Linked DNA regions of Arabidopsis thaliana. The protein of the gene in region 1 interacts with the protein of each later gene in a pairwise test. Each region holds a gene or a part of one and is shown in the gene's direction. Other genes may lie near its edges.

What was found.
Region 2: the proteins of GIP1 (region 1) and RBP1 interact in a two-hybrid assay, tested with the Arabidopsis thaliana proteins (one large-scale study listed by BioGRID).
Region 3: the proteins of GIP1 (region 1) and ACR6 interact in a two-hybrid assay, tested with the Arabidopsis thaliana proteins (one large-scale study listed by BioGRID).
Region 4: the proteins of GIP1 (region 1) and AT1G13730 interact in a two-hybrid assay, tested with the Arabidopsis thaliana proteins (one large-scale study listed by BioGRID).

The regions. Positions count from the first base shown.
Region 1 is NC_003074.8:4,249,461-4,257,917, reverse strand, and holds GIP1 (GBF-interacting protein 1), read left to right. Parts: upstream 1-3,639; 5' UTR 3,640-3,711; coding exon 3,712-3,889; intron 3,890-4,345; coding exon 4,346-4,389; intron 4,390-4,507; coding exon 4,508-4,574; intron 4,575-4,654; coding exon 4,655-4,781; intron 4,782-4,862; coding exon 4,863-5,116; intron 5,117-5,245; coding exon 5,246-5,486; intron 5,487-5,616; coding exon 5,617-5,779; intron 5,780-5,926; coding exon 5,927-6,334; intron 6,335-6,409; coding exon 6,410-6,631; 3' UTR 6,632-6,960; downstream 6,961-8,457. Other genes in the region: AT3G13224 (RNA-binding (RRM/RBD/RNP motifs) family protein), read right to left, coding at 1,297-1,836, 2,063-2,232, 2,327-2,432, 2,534-2,697, 2,833-2,873, 3,015-3,070; ABCG26 (ABC-2 type transporter family protein), read left to right, coding at 7,215-7,412, 7,492-7,781, 7,847-8,002, 8,135-8,318, 8,405-8,457. UniProt on the Arabidopsis thaliana protein: Plant specific protein that enhances G-box-binding factor (GBF) DNA binding activity. May function as a nuclear chaperone or lever and regulate the multimeric state of GBFs. May contribute to bZIP-mediated gene regulation.
Region 2 is NC_003070.9:21,723,841-21,730,981, forward strand, and holds RBP1 (RNA-binding protein 1), read left to right. Parts: upstream 1-3,122; 5' UTR 3,123-3,221; exon of another isoform or gene 3,222-3,488; 5' UTR 3,489-3,533; coding exon 3,534-3,755; intron 3,756-3,838; coding exon 3,839-4,699; 3' UTR 4,700-4,962; downstream 4,963-7,141. Other genes in the region: AT1G58525 (GDSL-like lipase/acylhydrolase superfamily protein), read left to right, coding at 6,073-6,316, 6,410-6,540, 6,629-6,853, 6,956-7,141. UniProt on the Arabidopsis thaliana protein: RNA binding protein. Can also bind in vitro to single-stranded DNA.
Region 3 is NC_003074.8:327,336-335,397, forward strand, and holds ACR6 (ACT domain repeat 6), read left to right. Parts: upstream 1-2,763; coding exon 2,764-2,774; intron 2,775-2,801; exon of another isoform or gene 2,802-2,889; coding exon 2,890-2,970; intron 2,971-3,115; coding exon 3,116-3,161; intron 3,162-3,263; coding exon 3,264-3,446; intron 3,447-3,533; coding exon 3,534-4,124; coding exon of another isoform or gene 4,125-4,175; exon of another isoform or gene 4,176-4,189; coding exon 4,190-4,294; coding exon of another isoform or gene 4,295-4,306; exon of another isoform or gene 4,307-4,378; coding exon of another isoform or gene 4,379-4,404; coding exon 4,405-4,731; 3' UTR 4,732-4,787; coding exon of another isoform or gene 4,788-4,818; 3' UTR 4,819-5,176; coding exon of another isoform or gene 5,177-5,587; 3' UTR 5,588-5,727; downstream 5,728-8,062. Other genes in the region: AT3G01980 (NAD(P)-binding Rossmann-fold superfamily protein), read right to left, coding at 412-690, 764-1,283, 1,407-1,498; ROXY1 (Thioredoxin superfamily protein), read right to left, coding at 5,177-5,587. UniProt on the Arabidopsis thaliana protein: May bind amino acids.
Region 4 is NC_003070.9:4,706,801-4,715,003, forward strand, and holds AT1G13730 (Nuclear transport factor 2 (NTF2) family protein with RNA binding (RRM-RBD-RNP motifs) domain-containing protein), read left to right. Parts: upstream 1-2,956; 5' UTR 2,957-3,285; intron 3,286-3,416; exon of another isoform or gene 3,417-3,606; intron 3,607-3,712; 5' UTR 3,713-3,718; coding exon 3,719-3,898; intron 3,899-4,000; coding exon 4,001-4,483; intron 4,484-4,567; coding exon 4,568-4,724; intron 4,725-4,817; coding exon 4,818-4,939; intron 4,940-5,025; coding exon 5,026-5,091; intron 5,092-5,177; coding exon 5,178-5,238; intron 5,239-5,314; coding exon 5,315-5,532; 3' UTR 5,533-5,872; downstream 5,873-8,203. Other genes in the region: AFP2 (ABI five binding protein 2), read left to right, coding at 7,169-7,799, 7,943-8,203.

The DNA.
Region 1 (8,457 bases):
AAGATTTGTAGAGTTATAAAAGAGAAGTTAATGTAAACATTATGTATCTAAAAATAGTGATTTTCCTTTGTGTCCTTTCTTTGCGGTTCTGAATATCCGAGGTTGTCGTTTTCTTTGCAGTAAAATCGTCAATTAAATAGAGAGATTTGGAATCGACCAAACAAAATATATGGAGATTTTGGAAAATCGTTTTTGCATTTCAAAAATAGATAGAATGGATTTCAGAACTTAAAATTCTAGGTGTAAAAACAATACGTTCGTTTACACTTTACTCTACTGCTAAGATCGGCCTTAAAGCATTGAGATTAAAATCATGTTTACACTTTACACCTTCGTTTTAATCACTAATTAAGATTATCAACTATGATTGGGTAGACCTTTTATGTATTATGTATTTTTGTCAACTCTTTTTAATGTGTCGTACGTGTGACACATTCGTCGTCATAAATTTTTGAAAACTTTGTCTTAGAATTGTCTCTTTGCTGTTTGTATCATTCAATCCTTGCACTTAAAACGTAAAAGAGTTTGGATTTCAATTAACTTATAAAAGCATGTACAATAAGTGATATTCATTTAATGATACAGTACATCATTTTGACGAGAAATTACAGATAACAAAACCCACATTATTAGAACCAATGTCTAACCAATTATCCGTGGCCCTTACCCGAAAAAATAAGGAAACAAGAACCAAATAACCATGCTTGTATAGATGATTTTCAAAAACATTTATAATTGATTTTACGTTTTCAAACACATACAATTCCAATTTGTAGCTAGAACCTACGTATGCAGCTGACAAAAATATGCCTACTTACACATGCACTAACTGCCGTCAAACCTTTGTTCAGCACAACAAAATGTACAGAGATACAAGAGACCACATAAAGCATTCAACTTGAGCTCTAAAGAATAGATGAGTGCACATTTTGCAGAGCTTCTTAAGCTAATTCGTATGATTGTGAAAACTAAGCTAAGCGAGTAATTGATCATCTAACAAGACTACCAAATGATAAATCATTCTTGTGCCAGTGAGAAACAAACTCCAAGCCCAAATATGCTAAAGTCTACATAACACAATCTAAGTTATAGAGATAAGACAACACTTAAATTAGGTAAACACACAACTAAAAGATGACTAATAAAAGCTTTTTGATGCTCTTCCTGTCCTTAGCAACCCTTCCTGATGTTGGCGCTACATGATAACTCTAGAATGCACCTAGAGCAATTGGAACAATCTAGAGGAACCTGTGAGAGAAGCTTCTATAGCTCCAACTGATTGCTATTACCTCGACCCTACCTTGCATACGGATGGTATCGACTACTGCTACTATAACCCCTCCCATATGGACCACCTGCTCCTTCATAACTGCCACCTGGGCCACCAGATTCATATGCACCGCCGTAACCAGGCCCACCATATCCCCCATAGCCTTCCCCTCCTCCACGAGGATATCCCAAATAGGCTCCTTCTCCTCCACGGCCATATCCCTCACCACCAAACCCACTCCCATAGGGTCCAAAACGACTAGAATAGCCAAGGGGTGGTTCATTCCGGTAACCTCCTAAACTACCACCCCCATAATTATTATAACCTCCTCCAAATTCAGGGCCTACACTGCCACGACCATACCCATATCCCCCAGCATATCTACTAGCAGGACCTCCATGTGACCTAATGGGACCTGGAGGATGACCATACCCTCCATCAAAACCTCCGTAAGGTCCACCATAACTTGCATAACTATCGTTAGAAGAACGACCTCTAGGGTGACTACCGTAAGAAGGAGGTGAACGGTTTAGAGATTTCTTTGGTTCAGCTTTCTTGATCTCCACCTACAACAAAGCAACTTAATTAACCTAGCTATGCTAAGGACCCAAACTATAGCAGGGATTTCCTATCTTACTGTGACAAGCTCCTTACATTTGGTAAGCTAGTGGGTAGAATTCTAACTAAGTTAAACGTGTATAATGAAAGGAACAAGGAGAAAATATCAAATTGAAACCAAGATAAATATGTCATCATGAACCAAAATTCTAATCCCCATTTGTACAAGCTTACCTGAGTGTCTGCCATATCGATCATGTTTCCTTTGGACAATAATTCATCTACGACTTCTTCGCTATCAAAAATTACAAAACCAAAACCTCTGGACCTGTTTGTTTCATGGTCTCGAATAACCTGGTGCTCCACCACGTTCCCATACTTGGCAAAGAAGTCCTTAAGTTCATCTGATCAACAGAAAAAGAAACCAACTTCAATAAGGACAGGAAACCAGCATTCTCATGGAAAGCAAAAAAATATCATGCCAAGAGGGAGGTCTACCTTCTGTAACCGTTGAGGGTATACCACCAACGAAAATCTTCTTTGTTTTGATGTCCTTTGACTGATTGCCACCAGCACCTTTCGGAATAGTCCTTTTGATCTCAACCTGTTCCATCAAAACAAGGAAAAAAGTATTGATCAAGACCCAACACCCTACTAAAAATGAACACTATAAGCTAGTGAAGGAAGAAAAGAGAAGTGGCCGACCTGTTTGCCATTGATGACATGAGTATCTTCGATAACTTTGTCAACAACAGAAGGGTCAGCGAAGGTGATGAAACCGAAACCCCTAGGTTGTCCAGTATGTCGATCTCGCATAATGACAGAATCTGTAATCTCCCCGTACTTGCCAAAGTGCTTATTGAACACAGCTGCAATCAAAACCAAAGTGAGCAAGTAGAATCAACATTCCAACAGGTCTAACATCAGAAACACACACAAGAATCCATAACATAACAAAACTTAGAAACGCAATTTCTAGAACAAAACAAGAGGAAGAAACTTACTATTAGTCGTGTCTTTGTGCAATCCTCCAATGAATATTTTCCTGCAACACAAAAATTCCAAGCAAAACATAAATTAAACCTTAACCAACAATATAAAAAGAGTTACAAAGCCAACAGATTATGAGATATTTCCCTTAATCCTGTGGAATCAAACATGCAAGAGGTAGGAGAAGTAAACGTACCCAGGACTAGCGCCATCGCCGGACTGGAAATTATCATTACGAGATCTGGAACCCATCGCAGCTCCTAAATTCAGTTTTCGATTGAGCTAAAGGATCGAGAGAGACACCGAAAGCTAGGGTTTTGATAAGATCTGATGTCTCTTCATCTAATTAGAGGAGATAGCTAAATCGTGTAATATATATATATTCTTAAATTTGGACATCGACTTGTGGAAACAAAACAAAGTTAATATTTTTTTACACAGCTGTCTATTTTTCCTATTCTTGTAAAAAGACAAAAAAAAAAAAAGTAAATTGTTGACAGTGGGATTTGAACCCACGCCCTTTCGGACCAGAACCTTAATCTGGCGCCTTAGACCAACTCGGCCATATCAACTTTGTTGTCTCTCCTTCCATTAAACGCGTACAAAACAATCAAATAATGAGGAGGAAATCGATAAACAGTGACGTCAGCGTATAAATATACGTAGAGAGAGACATTAAGCGGTAGATTGTACGGAAATAAATAATAGTACTCAATCAAATAATGAGGAGGAAATTGATAAACAGTGACGTCAGCGTATAAATATACGTAGAGAGAGACATTAAGCGGTAGATTGTACGGAAATAAATAATAGTACTATATACGAAGTCTTTATGTTCAACCCATATTTCCTCTCTCCTCCTCCCTCCGCTTCTCTTTCTCTCTGTAACCAACATGAGCAGGATCAGCGGCGATGGCGGCTCTAGGGTTTCTATTCCGGCTGATCTGCTTCAAACCATTCAAAACATCAGAGAGGTTACCGGTAAACAACATTCCGACGAGGATATCTTCTCTGTCTTTAAGGAGTGTTTCAGTGATCCACATGAGACCACTCAGAAGCTTCTCTATTTAGGTTGTTTTACTGAGAAAGCTTCAGCATTTGTTTTTGTTTTAGTGTTTTTACTTCCTTTTTGTTGTATTGAGCGTGTGCTTCTCCTAGGGTTTTGTTTTGGATTTTGCTATTTAATGCCCTTTGTCGATTTTGGTCTTGTCTTAGAATCTGTGTGTTATGCTTAGAATCTTATGTTTTGTTTATTTAGATTTCTAATTGGTATAATATGTCTGGGGATGTTCAAATAAGGAATCTTTTTTACTGAAATGGAATATGTAGAATTTGGGTTCATGACTAAGAAACTGTCGTTTTAAATCTTTACCAATCTAGCTGGAATGTGGAAAGGGAATTTCTGTTTAGCTTTGATTGAGATTGGGCATCTGGGTTAAGTTTTGATTCTGTCTACTGTTTCAAGATCAACATAATCATGTACTTTGATAGCAGACATGTACTCATATATTATTACTGATCTTTCAGATACATTTCATGAGGTGAGAAGCAAACGGGAGAGAAAGAAAGAGGTAGCTTTCCTATGTTCTTTTGAATCCTTACTTTGCATTTTAAGTGTGGTCTTGAGTTCTCTGTTTAGCTTACATCATCTCGTTTCTCTTATGCCTTTATGTGTATTACCTGTTGTAGAATTTAGTGCCAAATACACAAGGAAGGGGCCGGACTGGACGGAAGAACTTTGCTTCAAGTTACACAGGTCATTGTGGTTTATGTTCTTTTACTTCTAAACTTGTGTTCTATATTTCCTTCCTTGATTCAAGCTCTTTGTTGATTCAGATGCCAGTAATGGAAGAAGTGCAGCTTTTAAAAAGCAGAGTGGAGCTAATCACATAATAGGAGGTTCTGGAACTGCTTCGTCTGCTCCTAACAATGCAAGAAACGACACAAAACCTTCTTCCATAATGTATCCATACTTTTAATTCTGTCTATGTCTTTAATTCCCTCTTTGGATATGGGCTTCCTAACGCATTCTATTCTTTTTCAGGGCCCCGAACCCTATAAGTCTTCCAAGTGGAATCAGTAACCAGAAAATTCAAGATGCTATCATATCCCCTGTGGACAAGGTGGACACAGAGGAACAGCCTCTCTCCAAGGCTACTTCTTCTTCTAAGGATGTTGTTGAGCCGGATAAGTCTAAAGAAAGTAGTGTATCAGTGGCTGTATCAGATTCTGTTGTAGAAAACGATACTCAATATGCTGTAGTTGAAACTTTTCAGATCCCACAACAGTCCGAGCGAGGTATAAATTATACCATATAATTACTTGCCTGCTAATGTTGCTTTAAGTGCATTCTGTATTCTGTTAAGTTGTTCCTGAGTTTGATTACAGCCTCTTATGTGATTCGACGTATGGCTTTATTTGGAACAGTCATTAAGAGTGAGGTTGCAGCCAGTAAATGCAAGAATGAGTCGCTTCTCAAGTCGGATGTTGGTGAACGGCCGCACGTAACATTTCCTGTCCACATTCAGGTTGCCAAAATGCTGGAAAATGGTCTGACATTTGGGAGCTTCGATTCTAATTTTGTGAGAGAGGCATCTTCTGACAAGTTTACTATTGGGTGTGATGACTCCAATATTGAGTCTTCTCATGGGACAGCCGCATCAGCTAGGTTGGTGACTAATAGCTACTTTGAGTAAATCTTACAGTGTTACTTGCTTCAATATTCTCATGAATTGATCTAGAGTCTCAGATGAATGAGTTTCTGATATGAATACCTTTATATGAAACTTGGTTTGCAGGAAAGATATATCAACTTTTTCTCAGGATAAGAATCATGAGATTTCAAATTCAGCAGCTCAGAACGAGTTAACATTGCAGCCAGATCAAACTGTTCTCCCTGAAGAAGGTTCAGAAGGAGATAAAGTAAAGAACGAGGTTTTACCAATCACAGACACTCATCAGGTTGGTTATTATCAAGAAGCCCCACACAATGTCTTTTTAGTCTTGTGCATTCATTGTCAGCATCAGGCCAACCGCGTGGTTTTTCTAGCCAGGAAATATGAACACAATGCTTAATCACTGTCTTTTATATTTTGTTGATAATTGCAGGCTGCAAAGTGTGATGCTCCACCTATCTCCTATCCTGATCAGTATTCCTTAGCAGCCGCTCAACAGGCAATGCACCTTTATAGGCAACAATACTCTCTTAACTATTTCCCTTATGGTCCATATTTCCCCCCTTATTATATGCCGCAACCATACATTCACCAGTACTTGAGCCCAAATGGGTTCCAACAACAGTCTTACTTACCACCCGGAGATGATGCTCCAGCACCTCCAGGGGCTGAACTACCTCTCACTCACATCAAACCCGGAAGCGACATTGGAAACTCTCCACCTACCACGATTCCATTCTCATATACTTCATACGCCTTCAACCACATCCCATCAGCAGCCACCATAAATGCTACTCACAAGGAAGAAAAGAAGGAAAACATGTACACAACTGGACCACTGGTTAGTTTTTCTCTGACTCTCCCCACTGTCATTGCATGTTATGCTATAGTTTTTTAACACGGCTCCATGTAGCAGAGTCTAGCCAATCTGCAGGCCAGTCCCATGTACAACTTATCCCTTCAAGGTCAGCCTATAGCTTTCCCAACCATGCAGGCTGGGATCCGTGGGTTATATCAACAAACACAGCCAATACTGGCGCCTCTATCTATATCTGCGAGGACTGAACCCATAGGACCATCGCACGTAACTAATCAGCAACCTCAAGCTGCACGAACAAATCTGGGAAACAACTACTAGGTCAAGGAGTATTACTAGAAAGATGCATATTCAGATTGGTACGAGATGTTTAAGTCTGGAATTTTGAGTGATTTTGTGTACATACTTAGGATACATCACCCCCCAAGAAGAAGATTAGTATTTGGCAAGGGGACAAGAGAATTGGTGCCTTTTGTTTTTTCAATTTTTGTGAGTGCCACAAACCGCTTTGATCTCGTTTATCTGTAATTCTTCCGAATCTTACAATATAATCAAGTGATCAGTTTATATGAGCAAGTGGACATTTATTCTCGTACGTTGTGATCGTCAATGAGCAAGCCAAGTCGATAAATGTAAATGATTTTAGTACCATATAAAGTATATTGAAATTAATATAGTTTCATTTGCTCCTTGTTCAAGTCAACAAATGCATTCAATTTAATACAAAAACATTGAAAGAATGTGGTCTACCAAACTAACACCCTGATAAACAGAGAGAAAAAGAGAACACAAAAAGCAAGAAAGTTTCAGGTTTGACACAGTTGATCCACACACTTCTTCCGTTATATAACACAAGCCTACATTCATAACAATTTTCTTGTGGAACAAGAATAAGAAAGATAACATGGAGATCAGAAGATCAACAGAAGAAGTTGAAGAGAATCATGTAATGCAGATTACAGGAAGCAATGGCATAGTTCACAACATGGAGTTCATGCCACAAGCTTACCTCAGAAACCAATACTCATCCGAGATTGACATTGATGAAGAGTTCGTTTCCACTTATCCTCTCGAAGATGCCCCTCTTCCCATCTTTCTCAAGGTTCAACTTTCTCTTTTGCTTTCGATTTTCCTTCATTAAGACAAAGCTTATTGGTTTCGCCTCTTTTATTTATATGCAGTTTGAAGATGTGGAGTATAAGGTGAGAAACAGTCATGCTAGCTCAGCAAACCTGGTGAAAACAATGGTGTCAAAGGTGGTAACACATACAAATCCGGATCCAGATGGATACAAGCACATTTTGAAAGGCATAACAGGAAGCACAGGTCCTGGCGAAATCCTTGCGCTAATGGGGCCTTCGGGTAGTGGCAAAACAACTCTTCTGAAGATAATGGGAGGAAGATTGACAGATAATGTCAAGGGGAAGCTTACCTATAATGACATTCCTTACAGTCCATCTGTTAAGAGGAGGTGAGTTGGATATTTTCTCCTACCTGAATCATACTATTATGTGCTGATCTTTCCCTGTTTTCCAGAATTGGCTTTGTGACGCAAGACGATGTTCTGTTGCCACAACTTACTGTGGAAGAGACCTTGGCATTTGCTGCGTTTTTAAGACTTCCAAGTAGCATGAGCAAGGAACAAAAATACGCCAAAATAGAGATGATCATCAAAGAGCTCGGCCTCGAAAGGTACACTTCTTGAATATTTCCAGCTTATAGTGAGACCTAGCTCGTAGACTTTCTTCAAGCATGTTCTTGGTGATGTCCAGACACATTTCTTGTAAACACTAAACTAAGATTTATTGAAAAACACAATGAAAGATGCCGTCGGACAAGAGTTGGAGGAGGTTTTGTCAAGGGAATATCAGGTGGAGAAAGAAAAAGAGCAAGTATAGCTTATGAGATTCTCGTAGATCCTTCTCTGTTGCTTCTAGACGAGCCAACTTCTGGACTTGACTCCACTTCTGCCACCAAACTTCTTCATATTCTTCAAGGAGTAGCTAAGGTATCAGTTTCTAGTTACATGCAAATAGATTACTAACAAAGTTCTTGAAAGATACAGTAGAATAAGATTCAGTTTGTCTTTTTCAGGCAGGCAGGACCGTTATAACGACAATTCACCAACCATCAAGCAGAATGTTTCA
Region 2 (7,141 bases), on another chromosome or scaffold:
ATCCGTGGGCCAAACTCAAGTTGTTCCGCATGTGTTTAAGATTCAGTTAAGAACAAAACTCGAGGATCAGTCTATGGTTGGTTTCGATTTTCGACAACTAATCATGTAGTCCATTTATTTTCCAATTCAAAATTTTAAACGCACAAGGACCAAAACTCACACATCTTAATTCCAAAATATGTTAGATTCCTATTTCTAACACGTTATTATTATCTTTTCTTATAGTAAAGAAAGAGATGTAAATTAAAGATCATTTCTATATATACATGCAAAATCGAGCATATTTTTAGCACATAACGATTATTCAGAAAAAATGGCAATACTAACCGACACGACTTGTAGCCTAGTGGTTAGTGCAATTGATGATGTCGTTATGTGGCAACCTGATTCCAACTTACACATGCTGACATGCATTCTTATATATTGATCCTAAGTTCCTAACCCATAAAGTTTGAATACACGTGATATGCACGTTAAATAATTGGTATTTCTTTGAGAGTAGAGGTGCCAGTCTTCTCCTCCTCTTCTAAGATCAGAAACCTAATCATATACGCAAGTGTTTTTGAGCAATATATATTAGAACATAGCTTAAGCCCAACAACAACATAAAATTGGATAAATAGGTATTCTTGATTAGAGAAACCGATGTATCCAATCTTGAGTGTGTCCACTCAATCTTACTAAGTGTGCCCACTAGTAATTGATGAATTTGACAAAAGAGTGAAACCAATTTATTACCATTTTTATTCGATCCTTAACAATTTCTTAAAAGAATTAATATTGTTCCATTCAACTTTTAAGATTAAATATTCCAATAATTGTCATTGTCCACCAAAAACTATGAGGTTCGCTAAAAAGATATTTTTCCTTGGATACGTATAATGCATATGTACGTTGTATGCATGTGGGACTCAAGATATATGTATTTATGCATATGTTTGTAGATGAATAAATTTTAAAACCATATAATGTGATTACACATGAACGCATGTACGTGTATGCATGTGAGACTCTACTATATACAGATGTATTTATGTGTATGTTTGTAGATTGAATGGTAATAATGGAAATGGACCAATTGGTCCCTTAGGATGTGAAATTTCATGTTCACATGGCAAATTGGTTAGTGGCTAGTAGTGGCCCTTGTGACAGTCTATCGTCCGTAATCTGCGTCTCTATAGGTATACACACATCCATCGCTTCTGTCATTTTATCTCATGTATTGAAATTTCATATGATTTTCAAATATGTACTATAAATTTTTACAATATTTAGATAATGTTAGATATTGGCTCATAAGAGAAAATAGATTAGGCAGAGCGAATCAAACAGTTTAATAGGATCAAGTCGAACAATACAAATCATGTGATTTTGGCGAAACAAGTGCATATCAACCGGTTCTTACAGTCCAAAAAAATTTTAAATGGTGAAAGAAGTTTAAGTCATACGTATCAAATATTTATATTACAAACACCCTATTTTATATAAATAATTTTACCAAATTTATACAAATTATATGAAATTAAATTTTGCTAATTTATAGAATATTATACCGATTAAAATAATTATACACATTATTTAGTATTTTAGATATAAAAGAATAACACATAATGTTAACAATTATAACCATAAAATAAGTGCAGATGAATTAAGCTATCTACTGTATTAACCTAAAAGTTCATGTTGACAAAACAAAATACATAATCTTCTGACTTATTTCAAAAATTAGAAGTATTGAGCTAAAAAAAAACATCACAACCAAAGCAAATAAGCAGTGTATTTACTGTACAAGGCAGATCACAAAATCAAAACAAAATACCATTTGAAAACAATTTTGACCCATGAAAAATGAAAAAGCTCAAAAATCTCAAAAAAAAAAAGACAATAGACTAAGTGAAGCAAATGATTAAAATCGATGATGCAAATGGAGGACTAGTTATCCAAATTAATTTTCTTTTCTTACTTTCTTTTAAAGCTGCTTGTTCTCTTCATATGCATGAATTGTAAATTATTTGTGGTACGTCCGTTTTGCTTTTGAACCTTCTTTAAACTAGTTATCCATCAAACAAATTGTAGCAGTTTTAATTATAGGTATGATTTCAGTTGGGATCTTTCTATTTTGTTGGATTCTTAGGTTTAAGAAGTATACATATTGAATAAAAACATAATCTAGTTTGGTTAGGATGAATTTCTCAGATTTGAAAATTAGTAAATAAAATTTAATATTAACAAACTTGATGTCATCATTTAGACCAAAGCCGAAGCACATGAGTACACAATCTTTGTTTTTGATAATTACGTCAAATATGTTAAGATTTTTTTGCTTTCTTTTTTTTCAAGATATACTCAATTATAACAATATTTAAAAACATGAGAAATAATGATTTTTTTTGTTTTTTAAACAATAAAATCACTCGTTTACATTGTCACAATAAAATTAGCCGTTACACAAATTTATTCGGGTTGTTATTTTTTTTTCTTTTCATAAGTGGATATTGTCTTAATGAAAATTCATATAATTTTTTAACCCCATAATACTATTTTGATAATAGTTGACTTCATATACTTATAACTCTTTTTTTTAGTTAAATTATTTTTTCAATTTTATAATCCAACGACCCATCCAATATGTTATAGCCTAATAGGACGTATTCTGTAGCTAGATTTCAAATACAAAACTTTTTGTGAAAAGATTTGGTGTAGTTTATTGCATTTGTTTTAGAGAAAAAAAAATATTAAGTTCTTTAAAAACACACATAAATTGGGCTTTATAAATAAACAACCATAAATAATAAAACATAATCCAATTTTATAAAAAAAAAGTTTTTAAAAAAAAATGTAGTTATTACTTCTATGAATTTTTTTATTTATAATATACTCATCCAAATTATGCAAAACCTCAAGCTAATCTTTACAAAATAAAATATTTAAACAAAATGTAAATATTCTCTCTTCCAACGAGGATAACATTTTTTTAAACCAAAAAAAAAAAACGAGGATAACATTAAACAGAACATCAACAAACAATACGATAAGATTTGGGCTTACAATCTTTATCACAAAGGCTTTTTTAAAGCCCATTAGTTACATTCATCATTATCTCTCGACATTAAAAAAAAAAAGTTAAACTGAAGAAGCTAAAAAGAGTTTTTAACTTTTAACTCTCTTCGTCTTCTCCCTCGTGCCGTGTCAAATCAATCTACTGTTCTCTCTCCTATCTGGTAAACTTTTCCTCTTCGCCATGAAATTTTTTTCTTGCTAGGGTTTTAGTTTCTACAGTTCGCTTCCCAAAAATTAGGGGTTTTGTCACAATTTCTCAATTTCTTGTTCCATTTTTCTTCTTTTCTCCATAATCATTGCTTAATTTAGAATCCCAAATTTTACAAATTAGGGTTTTTGTTTAATTTTAGGGGTTTTTGATTTTCAACTGTTAATAGTGTTCTCGATGTCATAATTCTGATTTTTTTTATTATCTATTCCGAAATTAGGGCAAAAATCTCAGACAAACCTGCAAAATTAGGGTATTTGAGGATATGGATTATGATCGGTACAAGTTATTTGTTGGTGGTATTGCGAAAGAGACAAGTGAAGAAGCTCTGAAGCAGTATTTTAGCAGATATGGAGCTGTGTTGGAAGCTGTTGTAGCTAAAGAGAAAGTCACTGGAAAACCTAGAGGTTTTGGGTTTGTTCGCTTTGCTAATGATTGTGATGTTGTTAAAGCTCTTAGAGACACTCACTTCATTCTCGGTAAACCCGTAAGTGTTACCGCCTTTTTATGCTTGTGTCAATTGGGTTTTGTGTATACTCTGTGGATTGATTATGTGTGTGTTTGTATTAGGTTGATGTGAGAAAGGCGATTAGGAAACATGAACTATACCAACAGCCGTTTAGCATGCAGTTTTTGGAGAGAAAAGTGCAACAGATGAATGGTGGTTTGCGTGAGATGTCGAGTAATGGTGTGACCAGTAGGACTAAGAAGATATTTGTTGGGGGTTTGTCGTCTAACACGACTGAGGAAGAGTTTAAGAGTTACTTTGAGAGGTTTGGTAGGACTACTGATGTAGTTGTGATGCATGACGGTGTGACTAACAGGCCAAGGGGTTTTGGGTTTGTTACTTATGATTCGGAGGACTCTGTTGAGGTTGTTATGCAGAGTAATTTCCATGAGTTGAGTGATAAACGCGTGGAAGTGAAACGGGCAATACCTAAAGAAGGAATCCAGAGCAATAACGGTAATGCTGTTAATATTCCTCCTTCCTACAGCAGCTTTCAAGCAACACCTTATGTCCCTGAGCAAAACGGATATGGGATGGTTTTACAGTTTCCTCCTCCTGTCTTTGGTTATCATCACAATGTCCAAGCCGTTCAATATCCTTATGGTTACCAATTCACAGCACAAGTGGCTAACGTTTCATGGAACAATCCGATTATGCAACCCACCGGTTTTTACTGTGCTCCTCCTCATCCTACTCCTCCTCCCACCAACAATCTTGGTTATATCCAATACATGAACGGGTTTGATCTTTCGGGTACGAACATTTCCGGGTACAATCCTCTAGCATGGCCTGTAACGGGGGATGCAGCTGGTGCGCTAATACATCAGTTTGTAGATTTGAAGCTTGATGTCCACAGTCAAGCCCATCAGAGAATGAATGGAGGTAACATGGGAATACCATTGCAGAATGGTACATATATATGACAGTTGCAGAATGATAAATGCAAATAGGCTCACAAGGGTAGTGAAATTCTTTGGACTCTTTTAAATGGTTTTTTAGGTTCCTCATCTTTCTTCATTAACTCTTTGGTAAATGTGTTGGGTTGGTTTGGTTACCTTGTATATTGTTTAGGTATTTGATTTTAACCCCAAGACTTATGTATCATATATTACTGCATTTGTAATATATCACACTCATTTAGTTCATTTTGTTGCTTTTATGGTTTTGTTGATTTTGTGGTTTCGTTGATTAAATTGGCAATGATGTTTTAAATTCATCAAGGAAAACAAAGAAATAGATTGTCGATTAAACAGTAGAAAAAGGAAATAGTTTTGTAGAAATAGGAACTGAATCTGGAAATCTCTAAGAATACCATATTGTAGAAAGAAAATAAATCTGAGACGGGAGAAACTATCGAGCATCCTTGAGCTTTAAGTTGGAGAAACCGGGTAAGCGTTTGTGGGATTTTGTTGTAAGATTGAACGCACAGATGTCCAGGGATGAACTTTCGAAGTGACAGACCCGATCATGGCGGGTGAAATAGATGGAGTTTGGATTGAAAGTTACAATCCAGTGAACTATGTAAAAGAGCTTTTGGACGTAGATGGTGTGTGGTGTGGTAGAATCAAAGGGCTTTCAAACTTATTTATTTTCTGTATTTGTGGGCTTCGATAACAAGAGGGAAACTCAATGCCATGAAGACATATGTGGTACAAAACCAAGTGAGAGAAGTCATGGTTAATATTATTTAGCAAAAATACAAAGTCATGGTTAAAATCTTTATTTAATTTGTTTGAGACAAATTGTGGAGAATTAGTTTTCAAGAATCTATTAACCATTATAAAATGTTTCAATTTTTTTTTTATGTAAATGTCTTTACTTTTCTTTTTGTTAGGCAATGCAACAAATCATGAAATCGAACGTAATGTGTGGTTGGCAGCACCTAAGTTACCGTTGAGTGTTGTTGACAAAAGAGAAAATTTAAATTTATATTACCATATTCTGAGAGATCATGTTCAATTACACTACCATATTACTCATACTTTTCTTTGTGTCTTCATTAATTTACGGTTATATTTATGAAATTGGTGTTAATGCCAAACATAGTATATTCACGTGATAGACCATTTTGTTACCATGTCATTGGTAAGAAATAACAGTTAAATTTCGTTATCGTTCCAACTAATATCAAAGTAATAACTAATTCGAGATTTCATATATAGAACCTAACAACTGTTGTTTGAAAGAGTTATTTTTAGAAGTCCAACAAATCGAAACCATGTATATATGTGCACATGTCTTTGAATGTAAAACGCAAGCCAATCTCGAGCAGAAAAGTTACAAACTAAAGAAGAAGATGAAGCTTCAAATTCTATTGCTTGCTTTGGTTTTAATCGCTGTTGAAGCGAATGCAGTCAAGCAAGGGATAAACGCAACGATCCCAGCGCTAATAGTTTTTGGAGATTCAATAATGGATACAGGAAATAACAATAATCTTCCGACTCTTCTTAAATGTAACTTTCCTCCATATGGTAAAGATTATCCTGGAGGCGACGCCACTGGAAGATTTTCTGATGGAAGAGTTCCTTCTGATCTTATTGGTAACTATTTGAATTAACTTTTATATTTTTCAAAATTATAAATCATATCTATTTATATATATAATCTGATAAATATGTTATCAAATATTTCAGCGGAAAAGTTGGGATTGGCTAAGACATTACCAGCATATATGAATTCATATTTGAAGCCTGAGGATCTTCTTAAAGGTGTAACATTTGCATCTCGAGGAACTGGTTATGATCCATTGACAGCAAAAATTATGGTACCATATATCTTATGTTTTTCCATCACGACTGTTAGTTGTTTTTATGGGTGATTCCTTTTTGTTACATTTATGTTTATTTTTGTAGTCAGTGATATCGGTATGGGATCAACTCATATATTTCAAAGAATATATATCAAAGATCAAGAGGCATTTCGGAGAAGAAAAAGCCAAAGATATCTTGGAACATAGTTTCTTTCTTGTGGTGTCTAGTAGCAATGACCTTGCTCACACTTATTTAGCTCAAGCTCATAGATATGACCGTACCTCTTATGCCAATTTCTTGGCTGACTCTGCTGTCCATTTCGTGAGAGTAAGTATTTTATTCGTAGTTATATATAATAATACATAAACTAATCAATAATATATTGTTATATCCACTAACTATTTTATCTTATCTATAACTGATAATTAGGAATTACATAAGCTTGGAGCTCGAAAAATTGGAGTGTTTAGTGCAGTCCCCGTTGGTTGTGTTCCATTACAAAGAACAGTTTTTGGAGGTTTTTTTACAAGAGGATGTAATGAACCTCTAAACAACATGGCAAAACAATTCAACGCAAGACTTTCTCCAGCATTAGATTCTTTAGATAAAGAGTTG
Region 3 (8,062 bases), 3.9 Mb from region 1:
CGGCTACATCATTCTGATTTATATTATTATATATGCAACTCCTTCAAATTTTGGTTCAATGGATTCAAATTTCAAACATATTTCTTGGTCAAGAATCAATATGCATCTAGATCTCTGAGGTAATCATTCTTTTCTTATTTGATTTACAATTTGGATTAGCAAGGTTTCCAAGATAATATCCAATATCACGTGTATTTGAGGTTCACCTACCAAACTTGATTGAATTCAATAAACAATGAGCTCGAATGATGTTGAGATTGTTGACTATTTTGGCTCTTTGCTTTCTTCTATACTTGTCAAAAGTATATAATCATTGATTCCATGGATTATTCATCCCTCCATAGTTATTCAAACTTGATTCATATTCACTTTTTACACACAACATAGAATTATAATAATACTAGGCATTGATCACATGTAGGATTTGAGACGGGGTCGCGTAAGGGACTGCGCTCCATCCACCAAGACAGTGGTGCCTGTCATGAAGCGTGAGCCATCGCTGATCAAGTAGATAACAGTGGAGTAGAGGTCTGTGTCCGGGTTGAGCCACTGGCCGAGGGGTGCAGCGTCCTTGACCAGCTTCTGCGCTCGGTCTCTTCCCACAGAAGCTGTATACTCATCATCCAGATGCAGCCCTCTAGAGATCATGTTGACCCGTATCTTGTGCTTCCCGAGACTCATGGCTGATGCCTGAAACCCAATCATCAACAAACATATTCAAGTTACGAACGCGATGTGTCTAATTAGGAGCTAGGATGCATACCCGGACGAGCTGGTGAATAGCGGCAGAAGTTGAAGCGTAGGCATCAGCGCCAGGGTAAAGCGCCCTCTCTCCGCTGGCGATAGTGGCCATGAAGACAATGGAGCCTCCTGATCCATGGTCCTTCATCCTTGTGGCTACAGCCTTCAAGAGAAACCATGGAGCGGTGAGATTGATCTTTGTGATTCTGTGGAACTCATCTTGAGAGACTTGAAGAATGTCCTGCACCTTTCCTGCAAGAAAGAAAGATTGTTGAATAAAGGAATGATCAACACACAAGAGCATCAAAGGCAGGGTAGTGAAAAACAAGAAGCAAATTAAACCTTGGTAGGTATAAGAGTTGAGAAAAGCATCGAAATGGCCGGAAAGTTCCCATGCCTTTTGGACAGCGGCATGAAAAGCAACTTCAGAGTCAGATTCCATGTCGAGTGCTATAACATCGGCAGGGAAGGCTCCCTCAATGGAATCTCTAATCTTGTCTACAATGCTCCTTAGGGAACCCTCATTTCCCATCATTACCAACCTAGCAACAGTACATTGCATTTTTTGAAGGTTAACTATAGACACCAAAGTCAACCACAACACAAATCGGGGCTAGAAGAAGAAACACAGGATAGGAGGAAAGAAGACAAAATGAGAGACTCACTTGCAACCGTGTTTGGCTAGATGGAAAGCGATGTTTCGGGACACCTCGTCGCCGTTGGATGTCATCAACACTCTCTTCGCCGGATTTTCCATTTTGCCAAAGTAACTCTTTATAAAACAATTCAGCAGATTCAACAAGACTTAAGGGAGGGAGGGAGTGAGATTGATTCGATCGCCAATTCTAAATAACTATAAAGAGTGGCTGCAAAAGCTCTTACCGGAACTGTGTCTGTGTGTTACCAAAACGGCGAAACAAAGCAAATAATTAATGCCTAACCACATGATCCACCACGTTCTGTTGTTACCTTCTTTAATTTGTAGATAGAAGAAGATGGTGATTGATAACGGAGATGTATTTTTTTCTTTAATAAAAAGCCCACTTCAAGGCCCAGATCCATTTCTGTACTTTGTAGGTTTTCCAACTTTCCCGGCGCCGGAAGCAAGCGTAAGTTATCACTGTTCCCCAACCAAATTCCATCATATCCTATTATCCTACTACTAATGGATCCATCTCCAAGATTCCTAATTTCACTTTGCTACAAACTTATTTCGTGTTTTTGGTTTATAATTAATAGCCGTTGTTGGTTATGAATATGTAAGCATAAAAGGCATTTGGGAGCTCCAGACAGACAATGAATCATCAACATCAGGTACTCTGTCTTTCGTTTATGTTTCTGTTCCATTCTTTTGAAATATATAGAGGAGGAACTTGTTATTAGCTAGTCCATTGATCAACACACAAAGAGTGAGAATGAAAGCAATTCCTCCAACCAAAAGGATGCTTTCCCTTATTGATTTAGTTGGACCAATATATAAAGAGAACAAAGGAGGGTGTTGGTAGGTAACAAAAGATTCTAGGTGGTGGGAGGGTAGTGGATTTTTGAAAACCGTGTGTTGACTTAATGAAAGAGGTGTAGAGTAATGGGATTGTGAGAGTGTTAAATAATAAAAGACTAGGATACGAAATCATTGTGACATGTCAATTTTTCAAGTGGGTGGTGGAATCCGCAACAAAATATAAAATAAGAAAAATGCTTTGCTTGCTTGCTTGCTCTACTTTGCCTTCTTTTTGCAACCAACATGACGTTATGCTGGAAAGGAATCAAATTGTTACTTGGTCATGCACCTGTGAACGTTACGGAGAGGTCTACCTCAAGATAACGAATGATCTATTATACTAGTAAATACCACATCTTGCTTGAGAAGGAGAATATAATCCCCTTTATGATCATCAAATTGACCCCAAATCTTCACCCGACTTTTGGTAGTATTCGAACAATTATAACAGAATCTAAAAGTTGCTGTGCCCGTGCCACGTCATCTCTAAGAATCTTTAGTGGCACGTGCTCGATCAACTAATGAAAACAAGGTTCGGTTCCGGTGGCCTACCATTTTTATCCTCCTTCAACTTCCCTCTCCCTCTCTCTTTTAGGAATTTTCCTCAGAAATTGGAGGACTCACACTCTTCTGGGTTTCTGCTGCAGCCAAATCACCAAGGAGATACATACTACAACCATGGATGATGATGAATATGCCAAGCTCATCAGGAGAATGAATCCTCCCAGGTTTTTCTCTTTCTCTCCATACTCTTTTATTGTTTTCTAGGTCCTCTGTTTCTCCATGCTCCGTTTGTGAGCCTCTATACCCTTGTAAAGATTCCAGCTGCTAAAACATTCATCTTTATTTATGTATGTTTCATGGTGGATACAGAGTTGTAATAGACAACAACGCAAGCGACGATGCCACTGTTATTCAGGTAAATAAATCTGTCTCTTCAAATTGTTCAAGTGGTTCTGTACCAAACAAAGAGATTTTGAGAAAACAGAGTTCCCTGTTTGTTTGTGGTGCTAAATAAAAGGTTGATAGTGTGAACAAACATGGGACTCTATTGGAAGTAGTACAAGTGCTCACTGATATGAATCTTGTGATCAAGAAAGCTTACATCTCTTCCGATGGAGGTTGGTTCATGGACGTTTTCAAAGTCATCGACCAAGATGGCAATAAGATCAGAGACACTCAAGTCCTTGACTATATCCAAAAGGTTTCTAATGTATTTCATCACTTTTTTTCTTTCATTTTCAACAGGTTTTTTTCTTTGTGTAAAACGTTTGTTGAATTCATTGCGCAGAGGATAGAGAGCAACGCTGGGTGGTTCATTCCACCTTTGAGAAGCTCAGTTGGTGTAATGCCCACTGACGAATACACATCCATTGAGCTCGCTGGAACTGACAGACCCGGTCTCTTGTCTGAAGTATCTGCTGTTCTCACAGACCTTCACTGCAACGTTGTGAACGCTGAGATATGGACTCACAACACCAGAGCTGCAGCGGTTATTCATGTCACGGACAATTCAACTCATTCTGCCATTACTGACCCGATTCGCCTTTCCACCATCAAGGAGCTGCTGTGCAATGTAGTGAGGACAAACAGCGGCTCAAGAGCTGCGAAAACAGTCTTCTCTTGTTCTGATACACACAGGGAGAGACGGTTGCATCAGATCATGTTTGATGATAGGGACTACGAGGGAGTCAAAAGAGCAAGGACATCGGCGTCAAGGCCCAGTGTCACACTAATGAACATTGAGAAGGATTATACCGTTGTTACCATGAGGTCCAAAGATAGACCAAAGCTTGTGTTTGACGTAGTCTGTACTTTGACTGATATGCAGTATGTGGTGTTCCATGGCATGGTCAGCACAGAACCAGTGGAGGCTTATCAGGTAACTACTCAACGGCCGTCTGTTGGGATCTCTCTTCTAACAATAATATGAGTGTTTTGCTGCAGGAATTTTACATCCGTCATGTGGATGGACTTCCCATAAACTCAGAAGCAGAGCAAGAACGTGTCATACAATGTCTGGAAGCAGCCATTGAGAGGAGAGCATCGGAGGTAACCAATTAGGAATGTGAAAATTCTCTGTCTTGGCTCAAATTACATTCTGTTCTGCATCGATTTCTGATATACTCAAGACAGATTGTGCATATGAAACATACTTTCAGGGTTTAGAGCTGGAATTATCAGCAGAAGACCGAGTTGGTCTTCTCTCAGACATAACCAGAACATTCCGAGAGAACAGCTTAACCATTGTGAGAGCAGAGATATCAACGCGAGAGGGTAAGGCTAAAGACACGTTCTACGTTACAGACGTGACTGGAAACCCGGTTGAATCAAAAATCGTGGAGTCAATCAGACAACAGATAGGAGTAAGCAAGCTGAAGGTGAAGAAGAAGGAGAAGGAGCATTGCTCTGTTCTTGGTACAAGCAGGCCTTCGCACGAAACAACTACAATGGGGTATTTGCTAAGTAACATCTTCAAACCCAAGTAGCTTCAAGCTTCACCTATCTCACTCATAGTCATAGAGTGTGTGTGTGCTTTGTATAGGTTAGACAGAGTAGGGCATCATTTAAGCTGATCGTAGCGATCCCCTCTCAACAAGTCCCTTGTGTGTAAATTTGTGTGAACAAAATAACAGGAACTGCCTTTGAATAGATACGGCGTCAGTTAATACCGTTGATTAATGGATCCAGGGGACATTAATAAAGATGCAAAGTGTTTACTATTATGATTTAATGAGAGCATTCGAAAGATCAATAAGAGATGAAGAAGAGGAAGACAGAGAAAGGTGAGCTTAAAACAACTCTCTCTCTAATTACAAACTATAATCTAAAACCTGTCATTACAGCCATTGACTAGTTTCCTAATCTTCCTCCACCACATTCTCTTACAAGAAAACTTCAAATAGAAAAGAAAAAAGAAAGCAGAGGAAGGGATCAGAGCCAGAGAGCGCCGGCGTCTTTGAGAAGAGGAACGAGAGAGCCGTTTATGTGAGAAGCCATGACTCTGTCCATAGCTCCAACCAGTTTACCGCCGATGAAGACGACCGGGAGAGACCCTGGAGAAGAGGAGCCGGAGCAGCCGAGGAGACGAATGAGGGCTCGCTGGATGTCGCCGCCGTAGGGGTGGAGGTCGAGCTCGTGGACGGCGGGGCTGACGCCCATTCCTCTGAAGAGACCCTTCACGGCGTGGCACATGCAGCACGTGCTCACGCTGAAGATCACCACCGCGCTCTCAGAAGCCAGGGACTCTATACGAAGCAGACCAGTGTCAGCCACCATCCCCAAACCGCCGAATCCTAAGCTGCTCATCTTGTATGATCCCCACGATTCTGTCTGGTATTGCATCTTTGATATCTCTTCTCTTTCTCTTGTTACACTTTTGTTTGGAAAGAAACTAGATTAAACACGAATAAGAGAGAAAGAGGGATTGGCTAAAGTTTGTTGGTGAGAAGAGAGTGAGAGCCATGCAGAGTATTTATAGAGGCCTACTACACCTCTGAGTCTAACTCTGTTTTCCTCTAATTATTAGTATTATTGTTTCTTTCTTTATTATTTGTGTATAATAACATGACCTCTATTTACTTCTCCATGAAAAAAAGAAAAAAAGTAACAAAACATATGAATTAAAACCGATGACATCAAGATAGTGATTGCTGTTGAAAACAAACACCGATAATAGTTATCGGAATAATTTCATTTTTTTGTAAAAAAAAAAAAAAAGGCAAGGAGAGTTGAAGAACAGGCTTTTATCAGAAGGGAGTTGTTGGTAATAGACGGCTCCGTCTGTCCTTCTTGTCGGCTCTTACCGCTCTCACCATTAATTTTCTTACCACTTAATTCTCTCTTTTTCTTTCTTTGTATTTTCAGATACATGATCATAAAGTAAGAAACCATAATTTCCACGTAGATAAGCTCCCTCAATCTGTACAATATGGATTTTGGCAGGGTTTTTCTTTTATTCCATTCTACTCTGTAAAATATATAATTCCATACGACCGAGTAATCATCAATCCAGCAAATGTGTAATCATCACATCATAATTTGTTAAGGAGTCAGAATCTTATGTTTCTTATCCAGATTAATAGCATCCTCCTTATATATATAGAAAAAGAATTATGACTCGAGAATTATGATGTGTACATATTTTATAAGAACAGCACCCATGAATTAATTTGGATGGGTTTAATTATAACAATATTAAAATTTGAACAATTTTATATAGAAAAAGCCTTTTTTTTTTTTCTTCAAAGTTTACAAAGTTTGTAGTTTGTGACATGCTTTTGGCTTCCACGCTTGTGTCCTTTATACACGAAATGCCTTTTTTGTGTGTCTCAGGTTTGAGCTCCACAATAAATTAAATCTTAAAATGAGATTTAAAACGAAGGATTGATGGAAGAGAAGATTTTATATGTATATTGAATATAGTAAGAGAAGTCCGTACAGTTATGCTCCCTCTAGCTGAAAAAGAAAGTTACTTCTTTTAGTGTTTAAACTCATGTATTTCTTTTCTGGAAAAAAATCTTTGCATGAGAAATCGTAAAAGATAAATAATCTTGTCGGATTGTGGTTGTCGGATCGCTTTACCTTTGATTTTTGATTTTTTTTTTAAAAATCTAGTTTTCCTGACAGAAGACTTACGTAACACTTGTCATACAATGTTTGATCTGTTCAACCGATTCTCCGATATTAACCCTTTCGAGTAGCGTATGTACATGCTTTTCAATAAGGGTATTTTGAACATTTCTGAAGTTCGTATTCAACGCCTGAAACTTGAAACTTTGAACATTCCTTATTCCTTTGTATATTGATCTAGCTCTTTTCTGTTTTTGGCTTTTTTTTTTATTCTTCAAAGTTTAAATATGTATATACAAGGCTAACATTATACAAAACTTTAAAAATCTTTCGTTTTATGATTATCAATAAAAAGATGATTTTCTTCTTGTAAAAAAAAACATTTTAGAGAGAAAAAGAAAAAAAAAAAAGAGATTTTGATCGATCGGACGGGTAGGGTTAGATGGCAGGAAACGAGAGCCCTCTGGCCTATATTAATTAGTACAACAAAATATATAAATTGATATCAAAATAAAAAATAGAAAGAATACGAGCGTGATGCTATCTTTTCAGCTTTATCTGGTCTTTGCCATTTATAAATATCTGTGTGTATGTCTCTCTTTGCACAATATTAATGTTGTGCTTTGTTATAAATATATCTTCATTTCATATTTTTATATTTTCAAATTTCGTTTTTTTTTTACCTCTTACGGTGAAACAAAGCCGATAGGGAGATGAAAGGTGGGGTTTGAACTAAACCCTAAAATAAGCTTTAGAGAGTTCTATCGTCGAAGTATAATGGTCCGAGTCTGATTCCAACACCTGACCAAGATATGTCCCTACGGGTTATAAAACAATGTATATATTATATATATACAAACAGCTGGCTCATATATATCTGTAATACACTGATACAGAGGAAGGTACATATCTGTGCCTATGTATGCGCGTGGTGTAGCTGTATATGCTATGGAACATGTATATATGTTATAATGTATATTGAATTTCCAAAAAGCTTTAGTTAGTAAAAAAATAAATGGAAAACGTAAAAACAAAAAAGAAGGCAAAAGAAAAAGGAAGATATCGCATGTCGGTGTCGCGGCGAAAAGGCGGTGAGGGTATTGTGGGAGTGCTCACGAATTCCCCTAAAAATCCTCATTTATAATTAGTATATAACCCTAAGCCCATGCAAACTGCAATCCCACTCATCTTTATCACTAACACTAACTATCTTATTATTTCACCAAAAGATAAAAGTATTTCATCGAG
Region 4 (8,203 bases), on another chromosome or scaffold:
GATCGTCCTAAAGCCAGACCATGGTAGTCTATTAAAATACATGACTACATAGAAATGTGCAGTTACAATTTTTTTTTTTAAAGCATTGCGTAGTTTAATTAGATGTAGTTTTATAGCTTAAAATAGGTTGATTAGAGTTGTAGACTTGTAGTAATATATAGCAAAATCAATTCATGATATTAATTTGTCACCAAATAATAAATATTTGATAATAATTTTGAAAGTAGTTGAAATACCTAGTAGACTTTCACTGATAAATTCATAGAAATTACGATATTTATTTTATAAGAAGAGCATGAAATAATTTTAAGCAAATACATTATGCAGTGTGAAATAGTTTGATTAGAGAATATATAATAAAAAACGACCCCGACCATGGAGTAATCATATTTAATAGTTTTTACAAACTAGTCAACCTATTTTTATTTTGAAATGTTTGATTACGATTCTGTTTTTGAAAGGAAAGCGTAAAGTAGTTTAAAGTTTATAACGTTAAGTAGTTTAATTAGAATTGTAGCATTATATAGCAAAATAGTGTATCATATTTTTTTGTCGCCGAAAACAAATATCTGATAAAAGTTTTTAAACGAATTGAAGTATTTTGGTAGACTTTGAACAATAACAACATAGAAATACAATCACAACTCTCTCTTCTACAAATATAAGCATAAAATAGTTTAAACAAGTAGTGTGAAATAGTTTCAGAAAAGTGATAACAAGAAGTAGCAAAATCAAAACATAAAGTATTCATTTATTTCATCTCAAAAATCATACCTACATATACACAATTACAACTATATTTTCTAAATAATACATAGAAATGTAGTTATGACTCCTTTTTAAAATACATTAGCCTGAAATATTTTTAATCAAATGAATTCATGTAACATAAAGTATGAATACAACTACATTATGAATTAGTTTATGAGAAATTTATCATGTTTGAGTGTTTTGATTGAACATACATTATATCAAATGAATATTACGGATTTGTTTGTAACATCATAACCACCTCTATGATACTACATGAATTTTTAAGTTATTTGTACTACACCAACATTTTCGTTAAATAGTTCGAGAAATTATGTAACATTTTTTTTTAGTTTGAATCTATCATACTTCATGTTGAAATAGATCTTAATGAATACAATTTGTTTTTCAATGTATGACAATTATCCCTCTTATAACCTATTACTCATATTTGTTTGATAGTTTCACAATTTAATTTGAGATTTGTTTTTGTATAAATATCATTCAAATATAAATAGACATAATTTCAAATTATATATTATCATATTTTAGTTTTCTTAGATTTATCTTTATCATTTTAGATATTTATAATAGGAAATATTGCATTAATAATAATAAACATTTAATTTATGTGTATTTTAACTAATAAAAAAAGTTGATAAAGTTTTTGAAACTAATAGAAGTAGTTGATAGACTTTGACCAATAATTAAATACTTATGTAAAGAACTACATTTATGACTTTTGGGAACTCTGAACTCTGACAGACTTAGTTAAAAGAGCATGTTATATATATATTTTTTTTTATTGAAAAAGACATAACATCAGGAGTATTTTCACTATAGACAACTGTTTTGTTTGTAGGTCTATAATAGATTTTTTACAGTAAAGCATAAGAATAGATATGTTTGAACAAATAAGAAAGGAAGTGGAAATTGAGAGACCAATCATGTCAATGTCTCAACAACTAGACTTCATGTAGTTACACTCTCAACTAGCAAAAAGACTTCTAGTTCGGTTCAAACATAACTAGAGTGATCTCATTCTCTTGTCATCAACTCTTCCCCTTGTTTGGTATATGGCTAAGGATATGGATTGGGAATTTCTTTTTTTATTAAATCAAATATTTTCCTAACGAAAATTGCACACTGATATTCCATTTGGATTTGGATATGGATCTTTTTTTTCCCTCAAGATTGATATGGATCTATAAATATATGCACCGAAAAAAAAAATATCTATAAATATATGCACATGCATGTGTCGATTGATGATATTTTTTTTGTTTCATAGAATTTCTTTTTTTATATTTTATATCCAAAGGTTGATGCTTTCCATTAACTGTGAGGTTAAAAAAGACTTTACATATAATTACATTTTCCAAGTAATCAAAAACATGCATGAGCATACATTTTCAAGAAATAAAAAGGAGACACAAATTTAAGGAAATAAAAATCTAGACTATAACATTAAAATAAACCAAAATAATACAACTTCGTATACGTTGTTCAAACATTTTTCAACTTAACATTTTGATTTATAATCATATAGCTTTATCTTAGAGATAAAATTATACTCAGAAAAGTTTCGTGAAACATTTCTTGATATATGGTAGAAGTATGTACTGTTCAAACTTATCTCACCTTAATTGCTTTGGCTCCATTTTTATAAAATAATACACTCTAACTTCTTAATTAAAGATTTTTGTAAGCAAATTTGTTATCTATGCTTAGTTGTGTATTTGGTGGCTCAGAGGGCAAGCAGACATTTAAAAAAAAAAAAAAACGATTCATGGGTTCCTCGAACCATGCATATCCACTAGTTCTTTATTGGGCCGATAATAGGGGAACTCTTAAATCAGCACATCAAGCTTCGTAGGAAGAAAATATGTTTTTTGTGGGGCTTAATCTGTTTTATTTCAAAACAAATCATTCTATAACAAATTTTGATCTCAAATTCACGATTAAATAATATACACAAGTTTGAGTCTTATGAAGTATATATTTTATTGCAATGAGCCTTAAATAAAAAGTCATAATTTGTTGTTTTATTATATAATGTTATACTGAACAAGCATTCCAAAAAGGCCTCCGTAGCATAGTGGTATTGCGTTCGCTTCGTAAGCGAAAGGCCGCGAGTTCGATCCTCGCCGGGGGCTTCTTTTACTCACTCTTTTTTATATCTCTTTCTTTTTTATGAAATTAGAATACAATTCTTCTTAGCCACAACTTTCCATAACTCAACAATATACATAATCATCAAAAACAAACAATTCAAGGAAAACTTCCCTCCTTACCATAAATAATAATAGTAGTATAATTTTAGTGTAAAAATCTTGAAGAAAGCCCTACAATACAAGGCTACAACAATCCCAATTTCTCCTCGTCGGAGATTTCTAAGTAAAACCCTAGAACTAACCATTATATATATTATAATACAAATATATTCATCCCTCCCTCTCCCTGTGTCTTACTCTGTCTTCTCTTCGAACTGATCTGAGATTTTTGATTCTGCTTCTCTTCTCATCTTCTCCCAAGGTATCGCTTTCGTTCATAGTTCATACACCAATTTTCTTACTGTTATCAATTGTTTGATTGATATTTGTAGTTCTTCAATTTGGGTTTCATGTTCTGTCTTAAAAGTCTTTTCCTTTCTGTTGGAATCCTCTGTAAAAGCTTAATCTTTTCACATTCTTCCAATATCTAGTAGCTGTATAGAGATCTATGTAGTTCTAACGTATATTCAATTTATAGATTCTCAACTTGCAAGTCGCTTAAGTCACCAAATAAATCTCTTGTTAAAGCTATAAGAGATCTAATGAGATTTGTGGATTCCTTAGTGTTGATTTGAATGGCAATGTGAGACTAAAATCACTACTTGTGGTTCATCCATATGAGTATGTTTTAATTTCGAGACATTTGTTTGATTATATATCTGACCTTAGTGATAATCTCTTGAATCTAGGTAGAGATGGCACTTGAATCAAATGCTCCAGTGGTGGACCCAAACACTATTGGCAATTCTTTTGTTGAGAAATACTACAACCTCTTGTATAAGTCACCATCGCAAGTGCATCAGTTTTATCTCGACGATAGTGTTTTAGGCCGTCCTGGTTCTGATGGAGAGATGGTTTCTGTCAAATCCTTGAAAGTAAGCTATTGGATGGAGTTGCTTTTTGTGTTCAAACATATGTAAATCTTGTTATTGGAAGCAAAGTTTCGTTTTTAAGAGTTGTTTAATCTTGTTTTGCAGGCTATCAATGAGCAGATTATGTCCTTCGATTACGAAATCTCAAAGATTCAGATTTTGACTGCTGATTCCCAAGCATCTTACATGAATGGAGTTGTGACTCTAGTCACAGGTTTACTAACCGTGAAAGAGGGGCAAAGAATGAGATTTTCTCAATCGTTTTTCCTTGTGCCGCTGAATGGAAGCTATTTCGTTCTCAACGATGTCTTTAGGTATGTTGCTGATGAGATTGTTGAACCAGAAGCTAACAAGAAAGAAGTCGAGGAGGTTATTCCTCAAGTGGTCCAACCAACAGAGCAGGTAGATGAAGTTGCAGAGCCGGTTACTATCCCTACCCAACAACCCGAGGCGAAACAGACAACCGAAAATACAGTGAAGAAACCAGAAAGAGCTGTAGCAAATGGACATCCCAAAACACAGGAGGATAATGTTGTGAACGATAAAAGCAATGGTGTTGATGCTCCCAAGAAATCATTTGCACATATTGTGAGTCCTCTTTTTTGTGTGAAATCCTATTCTATAGCCTAATCTTTGCTCATATAATCTAAATATTTTGCAACTTACCCTTAGGTCCAAGATTTGGCTCAAAACGGTGCTACATTCAATGCCAAAGCTTCTCCTGCAAAGCCTAAGTCTAAGCCTGTTACAAAGCCGAGTGCTGCTCGTGAATCCAAAGCTCCTGCTCCTGTTTCTGAACACTCTTCTGCTGCAACAATCGACCAACAAGGTTTTAAATCAATGTTTTAACATTTCAGAAAAACTGATTTTCTTTCACCTTTTTCTATGTCTTAATATGATTTTACCATTTTTCGTGTATCAGCTGAGGGTTATACGATATTTGTTGCCAACTTGCTCATGGACGCTACACCAGAGCAACTAAATGAAACATTCAAAGGTTTTGGAGCTATTACGAAAGATGGTATCCAAGTGAGAAGTTACAGGGTGAGTTGTTTATTGAATGGATCTTTTGAAGAAACTTGTTTCACAGCCAATTTTTTTGAAATCCTCATTAAGTTTTTCTTTTGCAGCTCAAGGGAAACTGTTTTGGCTTTGTGACATTCGCATCTGCTGAAGCTGTGAAATTGGTCCTCCAGGTATGTTTCAACATCAACGATATTTCTTACAAACTTTTTGGTTATAAACTGGATTCTTCTTTTGATGTTCTACTACACAACTCTAGGCTCACAAAGAATCAGCCATCAGAATCGGAAACCGAAGAGTTTCAATAGAAGAGAAACGAGGTAAGTCAAAGTAAAGTTTAGTACTAATGTCTCCAACTTCAGGGTAGAAAAACTGAAACCATTGGTTCCGTTGCAGGCAACAACGATAATGGAAGACCCGCAATGCGAAACGGAGGTTATAGGAACGACAACGGTTACAGAAACGATGGGTATAGGCCTCGAGGCAACGGTTCCAATGGAGGTCGAGGCTATGGAAGAAATGGATCTGAGAGACGGGGTGAATCACGCAATGGTGAGGCTCACAATGGTGATGGCAAAGTTCATCAGAACGGTACGGTAGAAGCTAGCCGTTAAAATACTCAATCCAGAGGCTAAACAAGTTTGAAGTCATTTGTTAAACTCTGTTGTGTTATTGTTGTTCATTTGAAATTGAGGTTTTATAGGAAGAGATAGTGAGAGGGAGAGAGAGAGATTAGAAGTTCTTTTGGAGTAGGTTTATCTCTTAGGTGATAATCCCTTCTTTGAGATTTTGTTTGGGATAACAAAAATTTGATGATTACTTTTACCTTCCATTCTGAATCATCTTCATTTGGTCCGGTTTACACATAACCAAAATTAATCGGAAGTTCGTTGTCAATTGATTGAGACATCTTTTAGGACCAAACCGAATAAAATATTTTCTAGTGAAAAAAACAAATGGGCAACGAACCCTTAAACTTATGGGCTTGATGTGAATGGTGTTGGTCTTCAAACGACGACGTATTGTAGTATTCTCTAAGTTTGCATTATTACACAAACCAACAGGTGACGAACACGTAGCATTTTTGGTTTTTATGGTGTAAAGATCTTGACGTCCCCACTTGACTCAACAAAGTGACCCACCAAGGATTCTAAAAATCTTCTTTTCGATTTATAGATTTCATTCTCAAACCTAACTGTCACTGAATCAATAATAATCAGACTTTTTCACTAAGTTATATTGCTCATTATGCTAATCTAAACTCTTCTCCATCAAACGATTAGTCGCCAATAATCAAACTTTACCTTGTTAATTACTTTATATTATCATTGTTAAGTCTTTTAGTTTATATACTATGGTTTATTGATGATTGCCTTTGTGTAGTAGTAGTATTCAATTACTTTTACATGGAAGTGTTTTTATTCTCCCTTCACTTTTTCACAAGCAACTTGCTTGCTTCGTGGGTCCTTTGGTCTAACCCACGTGAGTGACGTTGTCGAGTCGCTAGATTTATCATATTCAAATTATGTTGTTGTTAACTCTCCCAATATAAATAAGATTACAAGAGATTGTAAAATTATAAATCAACGATACCATAAGTAATCACTAATCAGGTCTGTCATTTTCTTACTCTCTATATACGTTTATGTCTGATTTTGTTAATTTTTGAGGTAATATTTTTTTTTTTCGAGTTTGAGATTTTTTTTTTTCTCTTTTACAAAAACTTGTGCAAAAAAATTAAAAAGAAAAGGGGAAAAAGGAGAAAACGGATCTTTTTACTTGGGAGACACGTGTCGTGACACTGGATAACTCAGTCACTTTACGACACGTTTCTTGAAGCAGCACTATGGAACGCCGACGTAATCCACCGGCCACGTGTCGTTCAGGCAGCTCTCTCGGCGGCCACTTGCCTCCTCTCAGTCAAGGCCTGTCTCTCTTTCTTTCTTTCTTTCTTCTTCTCTCTCTTTTCCTCTAATGTCCAAAAGGGTCTTCTTCTTTGTCTCTGCTCTTCACTTTCAATTATAACCTCTTCGTCTTCTTCGCCGTCTCTGGTATTAACTCCGGCGAGTTTTTTTTTTTTTTTTACTTTGATATGAATTTGCGAGATTTACTGTTTAATTCATGATGACAATTTTGGATTTTTGATCGGATGTGAAATTCAGAGTTTTTCATTCTTCTTCATCATCTTATAACAAAGAAGAAACAAAACAAAAAACTTTTTTTTTCTTTCTTTCTATTGTTTCGGAATCTATGGGTGAAGCAAGCAGACAACAAAGGGCATGGAACAGAGAAATGACGGTTACGACAAATCTTTCTCTAGACATAGATAAATACCCGAGAGATCTGTTACGAGGTTTCATGTCTGAAAACGGCGGTGGAAGAGTCTTTCACGGCGGAGAAACAAACTGCGATGATGAGAGTACGATTGAGCTCAATCTTGGTTTGTCTTTAGGTGGTAGATTCGGAGTAGACAAGACTCCGAGGAAGCTGAAACGATCTTCTTCTGTTTTGGACACTGTACCATTCAACGATTCAACTGTGGCTGAGCCTGAGAATTACACGGTGGGTTTAGAGAGAACGACGTCGTTACCGGCGGAGATGGAAGAGGAATGGAGGAAAAGGAAAGAGATGCAATCGCTTAGGAGAATGGAAGCTAAGAGAAGGAGATGTGAGAAACAGAGTTTCAGAGTTGGGAATTCTGATGACCAAACGGTGTCGTTTGAGAATGAGAGATGGGTTACTGCGAGTAAAAGTGGCTTCTTGCAGAGACATTTGGTTTCTTCTAATAGACAAGTCTGTGGTGTTGATTCCGATGGAGGAGGAGCAACGGGAGGAGGTAGTTCATCGAGCTTGTCGGAGCTAGACAACAAAAATCAGCAAGGTAGATTTCAATACATTGTTGGTTTTTAGACACAAGATTAGTAACACTAAAATGTAAAATTGGATATTTGTCATTGAACCTGTGGAATTGTAGAATGAGTGAATGTATTCAGTGGAAGAGTGATCTGAGTCTATGTGTTGTAGGATCATCAAACAGCTGCAATGATGAAAGAAGCCCGAAAATCGTGGCAGGATGTTCATCGAACAGCGGAAGCCAGGGAACAGAGAGACCGAGTGTGACTAGAGCCAACAAAGTGAATGAGAATGAGAATGAAAAAAGAGTGAGAAGTGAAGACTCGGTGGATAGGAAAGGAAAAGGGATGGCTACGTCTACTGGTTTGGTTGATATGCCTTGTGTGTTTACTAAAGGGGACGGGCCAAACGGAAGACGGGTTGATGGGATTC